3 linked regions of the Arabidopsis thaliana genome follow. The protein of the gene in region 2 interacts with the protein of the main gene of each other region in a biochemical or structural test. Each region holds a gene or a part of one and is shown on either strand. Other genes may lie near its edges.

Region 1 (4,696 bases), on a different chromosome or scaffold from region 2:
TCAAACCTCCAAAAATTCAATCTTATTATGTTTTCTACATCTACTATATACTTATCTAATGGGTCTTTCGTATATTGTAACAAAACCAGGTAGTCATTACAATCATATTAGGATCATATCAAATATGAATTAGGATTCAGCCCATTCACCTTCTCTTCAAAATCATCAAGCGAGATTCTGAGTGGTATGCAACGAGATTAATGTTTCAAACTAGAATCATAAGCTTTCTTCGCATGTTCCAAATCACTAAACCGTTTTTCAAGCTAACCAAGTATCAACCAAAGCTTGAAGAATGGTGGTTTAAAAATTCATTTGATTCTGGAATAAAATATAAGAGTTTAGACTTTATTCGGTTATTTTTAGATTTTTTTTTTTAATTCTTAAGACTTAGAAGATATTTTAGATTTTGACAAAAATCTCACAATACCGCCTAAAAAAACGAATGGAATGGTGATAGAGACAACCGAGATTAGTTGTTTTGAATTCGCGATGTTTTATTATTTTATTTTCGTCATTACTCCTACTATTTTAGTATATGTTACTATTTTAGACTTTTAGTTAGATTTAAATATTTAATTACTTTATTATTATTGTTAGACCATGGTATAATTATTTTTATATTTATATTTATACAAACTAATAATTTCTATAATATTAAATAAATTTTAATCAATTGATCCGTGGTCGAATCCGGTTGATCCATTGACCCCGTGACCTAAAAAGTAGTCTAGTTCACCATCCAGGTCGGGTTTAAAAAGATTGCATTTAAGTCTAATTATTGGGCATAGAGAATGCTGAAATAGTAAGTACATAAAGCTGGAGAATCAAACCTGATTACACTGTACAAAGCCATATAGGAAACAAGTGTCAATTCGTTCTTCTTTGATGTCCATATCATATGGACCATACGAGTCATCATCCTCCAAAGATCTTAATCTTGATTTTATATAAAAAGTTATGGGTCTTTCTTTATAGTGGTGCAGAGTTAAGGCTTTGAACATTAGAAACAACAAACTTGGAGGTACCCAAATATCTCTGATTCATATCAAATCAGTTACCAAATCACTCAGGCCGTACCAAGCAAGATATAATGCATCTGCAAGCAGATCCGAAACTGGAATGTGTCTTATGAAAACACCAAAAGTATTAAGGAAGAATTGCAAAATATACATACAAAAATTATACTATAAAAATCTTATGCAAGTGAGACTTATGCCTTATTTCATCTAAAGAAGCACGAATGTCTAATCATCAAGATTACACACTGATTTCTCGATAACTATATACAATCTTCCGGTCCCTTTCATTTTCCTCCAAAGCCAAAGCAGCAACACTGTCAAATTGCACAAGACAAACCAATGTTCAACACACACTCACTATTTGAATACGTATTCACTAATGATTATACTTGAAAATGAGTTTTAAAGAATGTCTTACTGAGGAAGTGTTGTTCGGGTTACGGGAGCTTTGATGAGTCGGCGTTCTTGAAGATCCACTCACATTTGCTCCAGAACTTCTCTCTTCACGGACTTTATTGAAGATATGCGTGTATCCGTCAGCTGATGACGGGTTGTTCTCGTCCCAGTCACCGAATTTAGGCACCACTGTGACTTTTTCAGGCTATATATAAACAGATGACAACACATAAGCAACAAACAGAGATATTCTCACTTTAGAGGTTAAAAGTGAGATTCTTACACTTTCATCAGCTCTAAGGTTGGTAGGTTTAGGCCTAGATTTTCCAGTACCATCATAAGAATTCTTATGCAAAGGTGACTTGTTGTCATAACTATTGTTCTGAGAAGCTCTTCCTTGTCTTTTGTTAGCAGCTTCATTTGATGAACCACCAGCATCACCAAACTGTTTCAACTCGCTCTCTTCTCGGCTTCTCATATGCTCACGTGATCTTCTAACCGTGTCAACTTGCTCAGGTTTGGTTCTGGAAGAAGGAGGATGAGGAGGAGCTTGTGATTGAGAGTCAGAGTTATACTCCGGGTCATTCGGGTTCATGATCTTGCTACCGGGTGCTCGAGTCTTACGAGCTTTGTCAAAGTAAGCTGTGTAAGGAACATTCTCCTCAGCTTCCCAGTTTCCAAATTTTGGTACATTCGAACGCTGTTGCAACAAACAATTCAACAACAATGTCCTTCCACAAAACATTCAATAACATAACATCCTAAAGAACAATCATCACAGAAACAAGATAGCAAATTCACTTAAGAATCCAAAACAGAACAAATACAAATTGGGTTTATCGATTTCGACCAAGTACAATGATAAAGTTGAAATCTTTGCTAAGCAAAAATAGAAACTTTACCATAAAAATAGTAACTTTCATAAAACCCTTTTCTTATCTAAAGCAAATCAGAATCATAAAGTTGAATACTAATAGACATCGCAATCCATAGAAATGTTATCTCAATAGGAAGAACCATAAATGCAAATAGATTAAGACTCAACTTTCTACAAATCCTCCAAAAAAAGGGTCAGAGATTGACGGAATCGAAACAAAAACTATAATCTGAGAGAAAGCTCTAGACCTAAATAAGAAGAAGAGGAGAAGGAAAGAAGGAAAGAAAACACTTACTGCCATGGGAGAGAGGTAGCTAAAGAATTGAAGTCTGAAGCTTTTGTTAGGTTTGAGAGAGAAAGACAGAGAGAGATGTGAGAAGGAGAGGAGACGAAGAAGAAGTTTTATAAAAGCGTTGACTAGTGGTGATGCTATGTATTCTTTGACCCTTCCTCTCCTCTCTCTAATCTTCTCTTCTCTCTTTGTCTCACTCCAAACTCTATTAATTTCATTTCTTAACTCTATTACTAAATTTTCATGTATTGTCAAGAGCACTCAAACGCCGTTACCGTTACCGTCACCGTTAAAGGCGGCTTTATTTTGGTGTCCATGTTACATTGTTTTCCTCTTAAAAGATTGTAATAAATATTTTTGTCCTAAAGAATTGGATATGTGGGTCGGAAGCAACTTTTGGTGGAATCTTCTGCTCTAGTAGATAAGTTTTGTGGATCTAATAATTATATGCTAATAGAATAATTTGATTATTGATAGCAACAATGTTACAATGTTATAGCAGAATTTAGTGAATTATTGATCTTGGATTTTAGCGGATTAATGAGTAGTAATAACTGAAATTTCTTTTGGTGACGATTGGTACCAATTCGTCTATAGATAGGTTACCATTTGAATCAACTACTTGCAATTTTTGTGATACAAATAGTACAATAACTATTTTTACAAATATCGCCATTTAACGCTAGTACGTATACTTTTATTATTTACACTCATAGTTTTTTTTAGAGAAAACTTAAAAGTGTTTTGTGAAGAGTACTACAAAGTGATAGTAAGTAAATAAAAAGTGTTCTACGAGTACAAGGAAAAAAAAAAGGCAGTATGAACAAAATAGTTAGAAAACTAGAAATGAGAAAGTTATCATCAAAGGTGGTTGACCACAACTACCTAATCTCTTTTTGATCTTAGTTGATGTTTAAGGTTTTAGCACACTAATCAAGAAACTAATTAAATGATCAATTGTTTCTTGGTTTTCACATTAAAACATCATTTATAAAACTCAACAAAATTATTCAACCAATAACAAAAGAAAGAATTGAAAATGTTTATGAGAAATTGAGAATATTAACTTCTGAAAAGAAAAAGAAAATAATCATATGGAGACTTTTTGTGTTAGCAAAGTCAAAGCTGCCTCTTTACACTGAAAGACCCTTTTGAGAATTTACGTACCTCTTTCTTCCAAGAACAAATAACATGTCTCGTAGCATCTATTATCGAATCACCAATGACAATAAGATGTTCACTAAAAACCATAATTGGAACATTATTTTAGTAATTTTTTACTAGACAAAGTTGAAAAATGGAAAGTATTCAGCGTTGTTCACATCAATTTATTTGTGGTTGCCGTAGCGATAATTATTCAATGCTCCCGTACTCATACACACGTGAACTATATAGTCCACACGTACAAGTGTTTTCACATGGTTAATGCCTTAATGGGAATATTTTAGAGATTGTTCACGAAAAAATAAGAAAGATCAAATCAAAGAAGACAGATCGTTCAGCTTCATCAGTTTCTCAACGTGAGTGTGTCTTTTTATTTTTTGTAGTCAAGTGATATGGTTAGTTAAGACTAAAGACAACTAAGAGATCGTGTGCATTCTTAATTCTTTTGGTGTTATTTAGTTTTGGAGCGTTACTCTATTTTTGGGACATACAACAATCCACCCCAAATCAAGTTTATTTTATATAAATTGGTCCACGACGGATTTCTTCTATTTGTCTCAATCCATACTCTTACGGACTATAATATATAAAATGGTTCAATCCGCAAACGAATTTGTCCGCCACAACCATACAAACCAGTGTCACAAAGCCACAAAGGTAAGGGTTTCTCAATACATTATTTAAGGGGTTTATCACTCTCTTAGTCTCTTTAATAAGTCTCAATTCTTAAGTCTCTTTCACATTTGTCAATTAACTTGAATTTGCACTTTGGTACTCTGCTTTTCTCAAAGGGACCAAGAACCTCTTGGTATTTTCTTCTCACTAAAATTGAAATTGACCCGGTTTGGTTTTCTTGTTCAACGCGTGGAATGTATTGTTAGAGTTTTTGACTAAAACCTCACTCCAAAATAGGGCCACATGAGTCAGAAATGGATGTATATATACATA
Region 2 (8,450 bases):
TTTTACATGTATTTATTTTCAACTATTACCATTAATTTCTTTATTAGAAAAGTCATATTCAACATGTTTTATCAAAACTTTCTGTCAAAAGATGATATTAGAACTAAATTCGGACAATATTTTAGATAATTCCTCGTTTGCGACGTAATACATGATGTCAAAACTATGTTACATTTAGTAGTACTTATCTTGAATTAAATAAAATTAAGAAAAAAATATGAATGGGGTGTTACTATGGCATATATCTATTACCTCTGGATTTCATTCTATATACAAAAATATTATTTTAAAATGATAATTTACACGCGCCAAATATGCGTACCAGCCACGAGGCAAAAATTACTATATAACTTTTTTTGAAAATAAAAACTAATTTTTTGTTTTTTCAAAATAAGATACAAATTATACGTAATTCCTTAGTAAAGCCTGAAAAACATCAAACTTTATTTTGGCTAAAGGACATCATAAAACCTACTATGTAATTGTCATTAACGTTTGTTTAACTAACCAAAATAAATTACTGAATCTTGAACTATAAATTCGAATATAGAGAAAATATGAAATTTTGTAAGTGTTATTAGACATCCAAATTTTAAAACCGCGTAAACTACACTACAATTTAAAATCGGAGTATGTAACCTACATAGAGCCTAACCACCTCCTAAGCCGTATTTAATAACATTGTTATATTATGTAAAGATATGATATATATCGTTAAGTAATATTATGTAGTGAAAATCCGTCACAAATCATAATAACTTGTAGTGATCAAACTTCTTGTATATAATCTACTTTGTTCTCGCGAGCACCTTAATCAATCATCCCATTTAAAAAATTTCTTTTTGCTATTAACATCTTAAATGTTAAATCTATCATTGAGCAATGTAACAGTTCTGTGTGAAGAAACAAGGAATCACTTACTTCTACATTGTCTCTTTACAAAGGAAATTTGGCACATGATAATGCTTCGGTTTGGGCAATCTCCTTATATCTTTGCAGACTTGTCTATTACCATAGGTAATCATATAAAAGTTATTATATATGAACAATGTTCCTATGGTAATAGAAATTCACATTTTATTAAAAAAACTGATACGAATAATTCAAAGAAATAAAATAACTTTTATATGATTGTCCATAAGATATAGTCAAAACGCAAAAGACTTTGCTCTAAGAAATATTAAAAAGAAAAACAACAAGACGAGGATTATTTCTTTTCAATAATTAAAACATTAGTATAAATACAATCACATGCTTAATGTAATAATGTGACAGTTTGGCCGAGTGGTCTAAGGCGCCAGATTTAGGCTCTGGTCCGAAAGGGCGTGGGTTCAAATCCCACAGCTGTCAATTTGTTTTTTTCTTTGACTCCTTTGTTCATCTTTATTTTAAAATCAATATAAACCCTTTTCGGACATTCTAAATATTTTGACCCAACCTAATGATATTCATTATTTGTCTAACGGGTCAACTTTCAAGTCTTCAAGTAAACATGATATGGAATTATATGGGTCAACTCCAAGTAAGAACAGTGCATGCATCTTGAAGACAAAATTGATTTTTTTTTTTGTTTTTAATTAATGGAAATTTTGAAATACTAATGGGTCAAGATGAGGTTGTCCAAATCAACTGATATCATATATGACCAGATTCCTCAATAGTCATTAGTCAATACAAAATCCATAATCTTTTTTAAAAATATAATCTTTTTATTTTAAATCGCCTATTTTTTTCCATTCATTTGTCCAATGTGAAAAGCCATAAATCATATATTAAGAAGTTGTGAATTGTGATCATAGGAGTAATATTTCTATCTGAACAAAAATTGAATTTTGTTTTGCTTTTTGTTGAAAGATAAATAAAATGTTTGGCAGATTGTTTGTACAGAACACAACTTGTTGATAAAACAAATTCCATCAAGACAGCTAATGAGCTTTTGATAGTCAGAGCTTTGAAGACGTGTTAATGAATTAAACTGATTAGACCTAAAACCAAATATTTAGAAAGAAAAAAATATGATAATTGTTATGTTATTTAATCAATAGTCAAATACTATGTTGAGTACCAATCATTTCAGTTTCAACGATTGCTACTCTTTTGACCAATAACAAAAAGGTTTTTATTTTTCATTTCTCAAACTCCATTTTTGTTTGTTTTTAGCATAAAAACAGCTAGAATGTGAGTTTCATATGTATTATATACTATAAGAAATCATATAAATTAACGACTAGAACATATTGTTTTCATTCTAGTGGTATATCTGAGTTTGACTAGAACGTTTGGAGGCAGATTAAAGTGATTTCGCCTTGTCAAAACTACTTTGTATATGTTATCAATCAATCGCTCAAAACTAAATCGGAAAAAAACTACATAAATAAGATATGGAAAATGATACTAACACAAACTAGTAAGTAAGTAGTCACTACATATTCTGGTCCCATGAATATGGCTTACATAGTACATACATTGTGAGATTAAATGAATATGATATATAATACAAGCATATAAGCATGTGCATGACTATGAAGTGGGAATACATTTAGTGCCTTTATATGCAACTTGACAGAATTACCAATTATGTGAATAGTGAAACTTATATTGCGTCTTGGCCTTTTCACATCCGTGACATGATCCCTCAAATCTATATCTTCTTGCGGCATATGCTTATATATAAACATATGACTTCGTCTATAGATTTATATCCAGATAATTAATTCTCTCATAATATCTTCTCCACAATTTCAACTCTTCTAAAGTCTAAACCATGAAGTTACTCTCAAAGACCTTTTTGATATTAACTCTCACCTTCTTCTTCTTTGGCATTGCACTAGCGAAACAGAGCTTTGAACCAGAGATCGAAGCTTTGAAATCCTTCAAGAATGGTATTTCCAACGACCCTTTAGGAGTATTATCAGATTGGACCATCATCGGTTCGTTACGACACTGTAATTGGACCGGAATCACCTGCGATAGTACCGGACATGTAGTCTCGGTTTCCTTGCTGGAGAAGCAACTTGAAGGTGTTCTGTCTCCAGCCATAGCGAATCTCACCTATCTCCAGGTTCTTGATCTCACTTCAAATAGTTTTACCGGCAAAATACCGGCTGAAATAGGAAAGTTAACCGAGCTTAACCAGCTTATTCTGTACCTAAACTATTTCTCTGGTTCGATTCCTTCTGGAATCTGGGAGCTTAAGAATATTTTCTATCTTGATCTTAGAAATAATTTGTTGTCCGGTGATGTTCCTGAGGAAATCTGCAAAACCAGTTCTTTGGTATTGATTGGGTTTGATTACAACAACTTAACCGGGAAAATACCAGAATGCTTAGGAGATTTGGTTCATCTCCAAATGTTTGTAGCAGCTGGTAACCATTTAACTGGTTCGATTCCGGTATCAATTGGTACTCTGGCTAATTTAACGGATTTAGACCTGAGTGGTAACCAGTTAACCGGAAAAATACCGAGAGATTTTGGAAATCTCTTGAACTTACAGTCTCTCGTTTTAACTGAAAACTTGTTGGAAGGAGATATACCAGCTGAGATCGGAAACTGCTCGAGCTTGGTCCAACTTGAGCTTTACGATAACCAGTTAACCGGGAAAATACCAGCTGAATTAGGGAATTTGGTTCAGCTGCAAGCACTCCGGATATACAAGAACAAACTTACTTCTTCAATTCCATCTTCATTGTTCCGGTTAACTCAGTTAACCCATTTGGGGTTATCAGAAAACCATTTGGTTGGACCGATATCAGAAGAAATCGGTTTTCTTGAGTCACTTGAAGTCCTCACACTTCATTCCAACAACTTCACAGGAGAGTTTCCACAGTCCATCACAAACTTGAGGAACTTGACAGTCCTAACGGTGGGGTTCAATAATATTTCCGGTGAGCTCCCGGCGGATCTAGGGCTTCTTACAAACCTTCGGAACCTTTCAGCGCACGACAATCTTCTTACCGGACCAATACCTTCCAGCATAAGTAACTGCACCGGTCTTAAACTCCTGGACCTGTCTCACAACCAAATGACTGGCGAGATCCCGCGGGGTTTCGGAAGGATGAATCTTACGTTCATTTCTATTGGGAGGAATCATTTCACCGGTGAAATTCCAGATGATATCTTCAACTGTTCAAACTTGGAAACTCTTAGTGTGGCAGATAACAACTTAACAGGAACTCTCAAGCCATTAATTGGGAAGCTTCAAAAACTCAGGATTTTGCAAGTTTCATATAACTCTCTCACTGGACCGATTCCTCGAGAAATCGGGAATCTGAAAGATTTGAATATCTTGTACCTTCACTCTAATGGTTTCACAGGGAGAATCCCGAGAGAGATGTCGAATCTCACTCTCCTCCAGGGGCTAAGGATGTATTCAAATGATCTTGAAGGTCCAATTCCTGAAGAAATGTTTGATATGAAGCTACTCTCAGTTCTTGATCTTTCCAACAACAAATTCTCAGGTCAAATTCCTGCCTTGTTCTCCAAGCTTGAATCGCTTACCTACTTGAGTCTTCAAGGAAACAAATTCAACGGGTCTATCCCTGCAAGCCTTAAGTCGCTTTCGCTTCTCAACACATTCGATATCTCCGACAATCTTCTCACTGGAACCATCCCTGGAGAGCTGTTAGCTTCTTTGAAAAACATGCAGCTTTACCTCAACTTCTCAAACAACTTGTTGACTGGAACCATCCCAAAGGAGCTTGGAAAGCTTGAAATGGTTCAAGAAATCGACCTTTCAAACAATCTCTTTTCTGGGTCTATTCCAAGATCTTTACAGGCCTGCAAAAATGTGTTCACACTGGATTTTTCGCAGAACAATCTCTCGGGTCATATACCAGATGAAGTCTTCCAAGGCATGGATATGATCATAAGCTTGAACCTTTCAAGGAACAGTTTCTCTGGAGAAATCCCTCAGAGCTTCGGGAACATGACGCATTTGGTCTCCTTGGATCTCTCTAGTAACAATCTCACTGGTGAAATTCCAGAGAGTCTCGCCAATCTTTCGACTCTGAAACATCTCAAACTAGCTTCAAACAACCTCAAAGGCCATGTTCCTGAATCCGGGGTGTTCAAAAACATCAACGCCTCTGATCTAATGGGAAACACAGATCTCTGTGGTAGCAAGAAGCCTCTCAAGCCATGTACGATCAAGCAGAAGTCGAGCCACTTCTCGAAGAGAACCAGAGTCATCCTGATTATTCTTGGATCAGCCGCGGCTCTTCTTCTTGTCCTGCTTCTTGTTCTGATTCTAACCTGTTGCAAGAAAAAAGAAAAAAAGATTGAAAATTCATCAGAGTCCTCATTACCGGATTTGGATTCAGCTCTGAAACTGAAGAGATTTGAACCAAAAGAGTTGGAGCAAGCAACAGATTCATTCAACAGTGCCAACATCATTGGCTCAAGCAGCTTAAGCACAGTGTACAAAGGTCAGCTAGAAGATGGGACAGTGATTGCAGTAAAAGTATTGAATCTAAAGGAATTCTCTGCAGAATCAGACAAGTGGTTCTACACAGAAGCTAAAACATTGAGCCAACTAAAACATCGAAACCTGGTGAAGATCTTAGGGTTTGCGTGGGAAAGCGGCAAAACGAAAGCTTTAGTGCTTCCATTTATGGAGAATGGAAACTTGGAGGACACCATTCACGGCTCTGCAGCACCGATTGGGTCGCTTTTAGAAAAAATCGATCTTTGTGTTCATATCGCAAGCGGAATCGATTATCTTCATTCTGGATATGGTTTTCCCATCGTTCATTGTGATCTGAAGCCAGCTAATATACTCCTTGACAGTGACCGCGTTGCTCACGTAAGCGATTTTGGAACTGCTCGGATTCTAGGTTTCCGCGAAGATGGAAGCACCACAGCTTCAACATCAGCCTTCGAGGGTACAATTGGATACTTAGCTCCAGGTAAATTACTCACAACACTTAATTTTCAAAACCCTAATTATGCCATCGACTTACTTGAAATACACTCTTATTTTTCATGAACAGAGTTTGCTTATATGAGGAAAGTGACAACAAAAGCCGATGTATTCAGCTTCGGGATCATAATGATGGAGCTGATGACGAAACAGAGACCAACTTCGTTGAATGATGAAGATTCACAAGACATGACTTTGCGCCAATTGGTGGAGAAATCGATTGGAAATGGAAGAAAAGGGATGGTTAGGGTTCTTGATATGGAACTCGGGGACTCTATTGTTTCTCTGAAACAGGAAGAGGCTATTGAAGACTTTCTGAAGCTTTGTTTGTTCTGTACAAGCTCTAGACCTGAAGATCGACCTGATATGAACGAGATTCTTACACATCTGATGAAACTTAGAGGCAAAGCGAATTCATTTCGAGAAGATCGTAACGAGGATCGAGAAGTTTAGCAGCAAAGCTTTTTTGATGACATTTTTTCGACTTTGCCAAACTCTGTTACGAAGGTTGAATACTTTGGACGTAAAACGTTCTGATTTTGCTTTTCGTTATGTATTTCTGTTTTATATAAGGTTGAAATTTGGTTTTGATGAACTTTTTCATATACAAATGCATTAGGCTACACATGGATACTATAGTTTCTTATTGCAGGCAGATCAGGAATAAGGTTCGTCAAGTTTTTGTCATCATGATGGAGATGACGTTTGTCCCTTCCATTTAATCATGAAACAATACCACTGCTAGTATCGGACAATAGGCAATCTCACGACGGTTATCGAGAACACAGAAGATGACTCAAAGATCAATGCCACACAAGACAATTGTGTAGACTTGCCAAGTAATAGCTGTGAAAACTAGAGTCATTACATTTTCATCTCCCCGGGTAATGTTTTCCATTCTCGGCTAGCGAACCGCAGAAATTGCAAGACTAGACTGATAGAAAACCATGTCAGTGACTGTTGAGAATGAATTCTTCTTTAAAACTTTGCAATTTCATATAATTCTTTAACATCACTATACATTTTTGGACGAACTACATATTGTTTGCTTAATCCTTACAAAACAAAATCTAAAGAATATAGCACAAAAAATTGAAAACTTTAAATCGGAGACAATTACTTCGCTTTTGTATGGCAATAGAGAAAAGTAGTTGAGCGATGTTGGTCTATGCGGTTCTTGGTTCTGCCTTTGGTGAACGTCCTTTGAAGCTGAATGTGCACAAGAAAATGATCAACAAAACTAACTTGTCTTTTTACTTATTTTCCTTTGCTTTGATGCGACCACAATGAAGAAACACAAAGAACAAACACTTGTTTTTGCCTGTAAATGACAGAAATCAACAAAGTTTTCGTTAGATTTTTTATGAGTGGATGGCCAATGAGAATGATTTGGGGACTCACGGTTTCTAACGATGAATCTGAAGAAGAACGAATGAGAAGCAATAGAGTGGAAGAGCGATGGCAATCCCAGCTATGAAGTTAGAGAAGAGTCGCTTGTTGTCTTTTGTGGGTACGAAAACCGTCTTGAGTGTGTTGGTTAGTTCAAAGAGACGGTGAGATACCTGGCGAACAAGAACAAATAGAGATGTTTCAGAAAGCTTGCTAATAGAAAATACGGGGAGAGAAGAAGTTACGGTTTCTTACAAGGACGTATATAGCAGTTGTCAGCATGAAATTGAGCATAGGGTATCCCGGAATAATAGAGAGAAGCCATTTTGGTTGCCCGTCAGGCATGTTTGATCTGAAAATTGGTGTCTTTGATTTAACAAATACGCTTCCAGGAAAAGATTAAGTCACAGAAAACAAACCTTAGCCATATATGAAACTGGGAAATGTAAGTCTCTAAAGTGATCTTGCCAAGCCACCTGCGCAGAGAAATGTAAAGAGTTTTACATGGAAATGAGGCAAGCATATCAAACCAGGTTTTAGTTTAAATGTAAGTACGAGTTGACTCACGCAAAGAGAGTCAATGAGACACTTCGAAGCTGGTGGGTGAAATTCCGAAGGCATATGTAAACACTGGAACCCAGAAATCAAATGGTGAGTCATGTTTCAGTTTCAGCAAGTGACATAAGAGACAAATATAAAGACCAATAAAAAAAGAGTTTTATGCACAGACGTGATGGGGATCCATGATGTGTACGGATGATACATGTTGTAACTGGTCCTGTCCAGCTTGTAGATACATTCATACCACACATAGCCAACCTAAAATGTGACCAAACGGGAAAATTATATCAATCTGTACAATGGGAATGGTGCAATTACCAAGCTAAAAGATGACTAAATGACTTACAAGCACAGTAATAGTAACAATAGCGGCCTTTATGGATAGTCTTTTCTTCGTTTCACAGTCCTCTAACTTCTCCATCCATCTCTCTACCTAGAGAATGATCCCAAGTTTTGAAGTTTATTACATCGACACTACAAAAAACGGAAAAAAATGGAAGTAAGAACTTACAGTTGGGTGATAATAGGCATAAATCATTCCGATGATCCATATGTAGCGATCAAGGCCTGATCTAAAGTGCCA
Region 3 (5,988 bases), on a different chromosome or scaffold from region 2:
AATCTATTAAATCAACCCGCGTTTAAAGTGACTCCACTACACTCATCACAAGTGTAGAACCATTCTAGTGGCTACGGAAACGCTCATAACGCCCATAAGATAATTACGCATACGATCATCCTCCGCAACCATGCTTTCTCGATGAGGGGAACTTCCTCCTGTCTTGATGTCTTCCATTGGGCTCCACATATGTAACAAAATTTGTAGCCACATCTATATGATATCCATCAACCATGAACATTACGATACTGTTAATTACGTGAAAACATAAACAGATTCTAAAAGGATTAATTATAACAGATAGAGAATGTGAATATGTGATGATGATGATACATGCATGTTACTCTGATGCATCCATTAGAAAATTCAATCATTTGGTTGCAATTTCCACATTGACGCCACATATTCTGATTTGCTAAAGATTCGAACTTTATATCATCTTCTGTAGGATTTGGACCCAATCTCTTGTAATCTTCGCACGACAAGTTACTATGCCACGCATCTTTGCAGATGTTACAAAAGGGGTCACCGCATTGTAAACAGTATCTCATAGTTCCATCTCTGGTTTTCGACATTAAAGCCGAACACCTTGGATTTGGGCAATAAACTCATATCCTTACTTTGCTAAAATCTTAAACCCTAATTAAACAACCCCTTTTTGAATCTATTTGCACAATACATCTAGTAAAGTAGTTCGACATATATAATAATCTAACACTGGAAATGTATTTGATGTGTTCTATCTCTCTCTCTCTCTCTCTCTATGATCCGAAGGAATGGTCTCTACTTGTGATGAGTGTAGTGGAGTCACATTACATGTTATATTTGTGCTTGGAGACATATTTGTTCTATGGATTCTCTAAGAAATTTTAAAACGGGTTGAGATTTTACTATTTGATAGTTTTGTATACTTGTATTGAAACATTATGCATGGAATCTATCGACTCTACAAGCAGTTTACGCATCTGTTCATGAAAAATGGGAATCTGCATTATATTCAATTAGTATCTCAATGCTATTAAGAAAGCGAACAGAGAGATCTTGTATTGAAAACAAAAAAAAGCTCGTGGAAATGATTACAAACATAGTGTTACAATGATACAAGTTGACGTGTATGTATGCATATTTGCTTTTCTCTCCTGTGGACCAGATTGCTCTGTCCACACAAAGATATCACCATAAAGTTAAAAGTAGATCGGAGAAGGAGGCCATTTCCCTCTTCCGCGTCTACCGTGAATCCTACCTCGAGGGAGGATGAGTAGCACAAACAAAAAGTGAGAATAATAAACATACGTACGTGAAAGAGATGACCCGAGGATCCAAAACAAAGACAATCTTTAAGTATCTGCAGCTTCTGTGGTGGATTCTGGATGTGTTGGTTCAGCTTCTTCTTCCGGTTGTGACACAGCCGTTTCCTTCTGCTGTTCAGCGAGACGGCTGATGCGTTCAAGCAACTGCGCTGCTTTTCGTTTCCCTCTATCCGTCCCATTTCCAGCTAAATCTATCAATGGACCCATAAGGCCGAGTTTCTGCGCTTCGACAAGATGTTGTGGGTCTCCAGAACAGAGGTGGACTAGAACAGCAGCTGCGTTTTCTCTGTTTCTAGGCGAGCCAGTTCTGATAAACTCAACCAAACTTGGGACTGCATCAGAGGATCCTATGATTGCTTTTCCTTCGGGGTGGCTAGAGAGAATCGCCAAAATCGCGAGTGCCTCATCGACCATTCCGCTTCCGGGCTCTGTCAAGAGTCTAGTCAACGTGGGAATCACTCCTGCACGTATAGCTTTTCCTTTGTTTCCTTGGTATATACAGAGGTTAAAGAGTGCAGTAGCAGCATCTTTCTTGCCTCTTTGTGTACCTTCATTAAGTAATACAACGAGTGGCGGAATTGCTCCTAAGGCACCGATAGTCACTTTATTTTCATCGATCACTGATAGACTGAAAAGTGTAGCCGCCGCATTCTCTCTGGCCTCCATGCTTCCTTTCTTAAGCACTTGAACTATACCAGGAATAGCTCCAGCTGAAACAATGGCTCCTTTGTTGTTCTCACATATGGAGAGGTTTAGAAGAGCTGTTACCGAATGTTCTTGAATACGAGAATCAGGAGTTGAGAGGAGACCTACGAGAAGAGGTATGGCTCCAGCTTCGGCTATGGCCACGCGGTTGTCTGCATTTCGTTTTGCAAGAAGGCGGATTTCCCCAGCTGCAGATCGTTGGTCCTCGGGGTTTCCGTACGCAAGTCTCCACATAAGATCTTCAATCTTGTTCGCTTCTGCGGGAGATGAGAAGGACGATACTTTTCTGGGTCTTAAACTGCTCGGAGGCTTTGGAGGCTCAATATCGTTGGCCTCGCACCACTGAGCTATGAGACTACGGAGAACATAGTTTGGTGTGAGGGTTGTGCTTGTTAGCGCCTGCTGTGTTTTTGGACATGTCGAGTGTCCACCTTCTATCCATTTCTCAATACATGTGCGTTCGTATGTCTATACATAGAGGAGAACATGCTTCTATAATTAAATCTTAAGAGATCGCAGAAATAAATTTGAAGAAGCTGAGGTTGAAGTGAACTATACCTGCCCTGATGAAACAATAACTGGATCTCTCATCATTTCCAGCGAAATCGGACAGCGAAAATCATCAGGAATCACAGGTATCTTCTGACTCGCTGCCGTAGAAGTCTGTCCATTGCTTCTAGAGTTAACTCCTACTTTCTGCTCCTCGCCATTATCATCCTCCGTCTGCACAAAATCCTTAATCATCTTTAATACCATTGCCATCTCCTCAATATTTTCACCAACATCTCCACCGCTTGAAGCAACCATTTCATGCAGAGCCACTGATTCTTGAGCTAGGTCAGGAATCTCCATCAAATGTAACTTCTTCGCAACCCGCTCTAGCACAGGCTGATAAGCATCTACATCACTACTTTTGTTGCAAAGCGACTGAAGATCTTCATATAGCTCATCATCTGATACATCTACTCTTCCTTTAGCTCGCCGAAACTGACTAAGAACCAGCTCAACCTACAACAACCAAAAAAACGCTATGAATCAACTACATGTCGTCTTTACTGATCCAGACACTGGCCTAGCCAGCCTTGGGTTTCAAGAATTTACCTGTTCTCTAACTTCATCCGATATATCGAGTTCTTCATATGGAATCTGGCTTAAAGATTGTTCTAACTTAACAGACACCTCCATCAATTTACTTGTCACTTGTTCCCTCTCCATCACCTACACACAGAACAACAACATCTCTTGTGTATCAGAGCACAAATTCTCAACAACTTCCATAGATCAATCAAGTCACATCAACCACTACCAAATCTAACATCTAATCAAATACCAAAGAAGCATTGATATCACTCAAACACTACCATAGCAAAACAAAGCACGTGGCTCTCTCATTCAATGAAAACACCAATTCGTCAACGAGAACAAAAATTCTCAGTGACCACACAGATCTAATCATAGATGCTAATAAATCGAAGAAGAAACGCACCAGATAAATCTTGCTCCCTTGGCTACAAAATTTGAGATAATCCTTCGCTGAACACATAGCTTCCTTCAAATTCATCAAAGTCTTCAACGTATCTTCGCTGATCGGTTCGTTACTTTCTCTAATTTCCTCAAACATAGGAACAAGCAGCTTTAATCTCCTCGCTAGATTATAACAAAGCTTCTTCACTGTTATACGATAATCAGAAATCGCAGCAATCTCGTTAACTACATCGATTAAGCTCTGTGCAGCAGAAGCTTTCTCTTCCTCCATTGAATTGATTCTTCTCTGTTTAAAAATTCACGATTTACGGATCCGTTTTTCCTCCGGAGAAGATGGAGATCTTTCCCGATTGAGACTCCAGTGGCGAGATTGAGCTTAAAGGAAGAAGAGAACCATTTGCAGAAAGTGCGAAAGAGAGAGATTTCTGAGAAAGAGAGATTGTGTGAGAGAGAAGACGAGGACTTTTCGAAAACGGCGTCGTTTAGCTGACGGCTTTAGCTTATTGCAACTTGTACGATTCTCTCGGCTTAAGAACTAAACCGGAACAAAGGTAAATTCGACCACGAAGCCGCGGGACCGGTTACGATTGTGTTTGTTTTATTTTTTACATTAATATATTATATTATCATTTAAATTATTTCTCTATAAAATTACTAATTTTCTTGTGAAATTTTGAATATTTTTCAACTATTATATTTTCACGGATTGAATATACGAATTTTTACGGATATAGTGGTCACTTTTTTGCTGTAGTTGGTGACATTTTTGGGGTGTCATAGAAGAACAAAATTGTTAATGCATTTATAATTTTGGATTTAGTGATAATTGAAGAATTAAAAAGGTTTTATACCTCTATCTCTCTAATCATGCAAGAAAATATTTTAAAAAGAAAAATTAAAAATAGTTCAACTGGACAACGAAATTATCCTAAAATAGTTATTTCTTTTGATCTAATCCTTCTTCTTTTAAACTTTTTTTTACTTGTTTCTACTCTACATGTTTCTTGTTATTAGGTAAAGTATTAGGCTCTTTTTTTAAAAAAAATGCTTAATCCTCTGGGTACCTCGAAAAGGGAATAATACTCTAGTTAGATAAGTGCAGCGATCAACATGACAAAATGAATGAATGTTTGCTTTAATTGGTGGCTAAAAGCTAAATACACAGAAAAGTCAAAATTCAATCTCAAAATCAACCCCTCTGTCTCCAATGTCCCTAATCTATACCAAAATGTCAATTTATTTTCTTGATCATATATTCCACTAATTAAAAATAAATCCTTCTCTAATGAAATTTGTCAAGGCCTTGGAAGCCTAGTTTTAAATATTAAATGGAAACTATTTCTTCAACAATCACACTGTTATTTAGTATTGTTGTATGTTGTTCACTACTTTCTTCATTTGTTTTGTAAGAAACTATAATAAGCAAAAACACATAATAAAGTCTCATGTCAAATAATGAATCTTATGCACATGCTTGATTATTTTACTTGCACATATCCCTATCATCATTATCACATTTGTCAATTACCGTTATCATCATTACTCTCATTCTTCCCAGAACTTTTTCAGCAATTTCCATACCTCACCCACTAAGATCTTTTACCCTTTTTCTTAATTATAGTTTGGATAGCACTCTTTTACATAGCACTGAAATTTCGGTTGAACACATAAATTACTAGAAACTAGAAGGAAATGTTACTGAAATTTCACTGATTGTCTAAAATTGAATAATCTAAAGAAAATGGCCTTTTAACCTTTTTCTTAGGCCCAAATGGGCTCATTACCACTCATGCTTGTTCGGTGACCCGATTCTTCCGGTAAAACAGAGCCTAAACCGTATTTTCAGGTTAGGCTGGTGTTTTCTTAATTCTCCAACCTAAAAATAGATGGACACGTGTCTATAGAGGCTGAGATATTGGTCTCAATGAAGAAAACTAACGGCTCAGACCCGTGTATGAACGATATTAAGGGCCAAAGTTGCTTCTGTTTTCCAGAAATTTTTGAAACCCAATTTCAGGGCACGATTCCACAACCTCTTTCTTTTCTTCTAGATCTACGTAAATTCATCAGGTACATGTTATTTTTTTTGTTTATTTGATGTCAAAATTTTGATCACAAGGAGGCAAAACCAATATAAATGTAACGCTAATGCGTTTGATTATGGTATACGTAACGAATTAGATTTAATGGTTACATTTTATTGTTTTAGATTTAGTTATGAGATTGGCATTAATTATTGGTGTTTCCTTTGAATTTGCTATGTTTCTTATGTTGATGTAATCAGCTAGAGATTGAAAAATGGCGGACGGTGAAGATATTCAGCCGCTCGTTTGCGATAACGGGACTGGAATGGTCAAGGTAATCAAAAAGCTTTAGAGAAACAAGATTTGTGAATGTTATTATGTGCCATAAGTTAAGCAATTCAACTATGTGCGTGTAGGCTGGTTTTGCAGGTGATGATGCTCCTAGAGCTGTATTCCCAAGTATC

The links. The genes of interacting proteins can lie anywhere in the genome.
Region 1: the proteins of FLS2 (region 2) and RIN4 form a complex in vitro, tested with the Arabidopsis thaliana proteins (one study listed by BioGRID).
Region 3: of the proteins of FLS2 (region 2) and PUB13, one has a biochemical effect on the other in vitro, tested with the Arabidopsis thaliana proteins (2 studies listed by BioGRID, with this or other methods).

Annotation. Positions count from the first base shown.
Region 1 is NC_003074.8:9,130,355-9,135,050, reverse strand, and holds RIN4 (RPM1 interacting protein 4), read right to left. Parts: upstream 2,914-4,696; 5' UTR 2,594-2,913; coding exon of another isoform or gene 2,588-2,593; 5' UTR 2,161-2,587; coding exon 1,699-2,160; intron 1,621-1,698; coding exon 1,438-1,620; intron 1,334-1,437; coding exon 1,304-1,333; 3' UTR 963-1,303; downstream 1-962.
Region 2 is NC_003076.8:18,789,038-18,797,487, forward strand, and holds FLS2 (Leucine-rich receptor-like protein kinase family protein), read left to right. Parts: upstream 1-2,537; 5' UTR 2,538-2,764; coding exon 2,765-5,903; intron 5,904-5,987; coding exon 5,988-6,370; 3' UTR 6,371-6,871; downstream 6,872-8,450. Other genes in the region: RWA1 (O-acetyltransferase family protein), read right to left, coding at 7,324-7,479, 7,562-7,658, 7,726-7,782, 7,874-7,936, 8,037-8,125, 8,214-8,300, 8,379-8,450.
Region 3 is NC_003074.8:17,122,769-17,128,756, forward strand, and holds PUB13 (plant U-box 13), read right to left. Parts: upstream 4,130-5,988; 5' UTR 3,772-4,129; coding exon 3,502-3,771; intron 3,234-3,501; coding exon 3,117-3,233; intron 3,024-3,116; coding exon 2,574-3,023; intron 2,484-2,573; coding exon 1,338-2,483; 3' UTR 963-1,337; downstream 1-962. Other genes in the region: ACT12 (actin-12), read left to right, coding at 5,799-5,858, 5,941-5,988. UniProt on the Arabidopsis thaliana protein: Functions as an E3 ubiquitin ligase.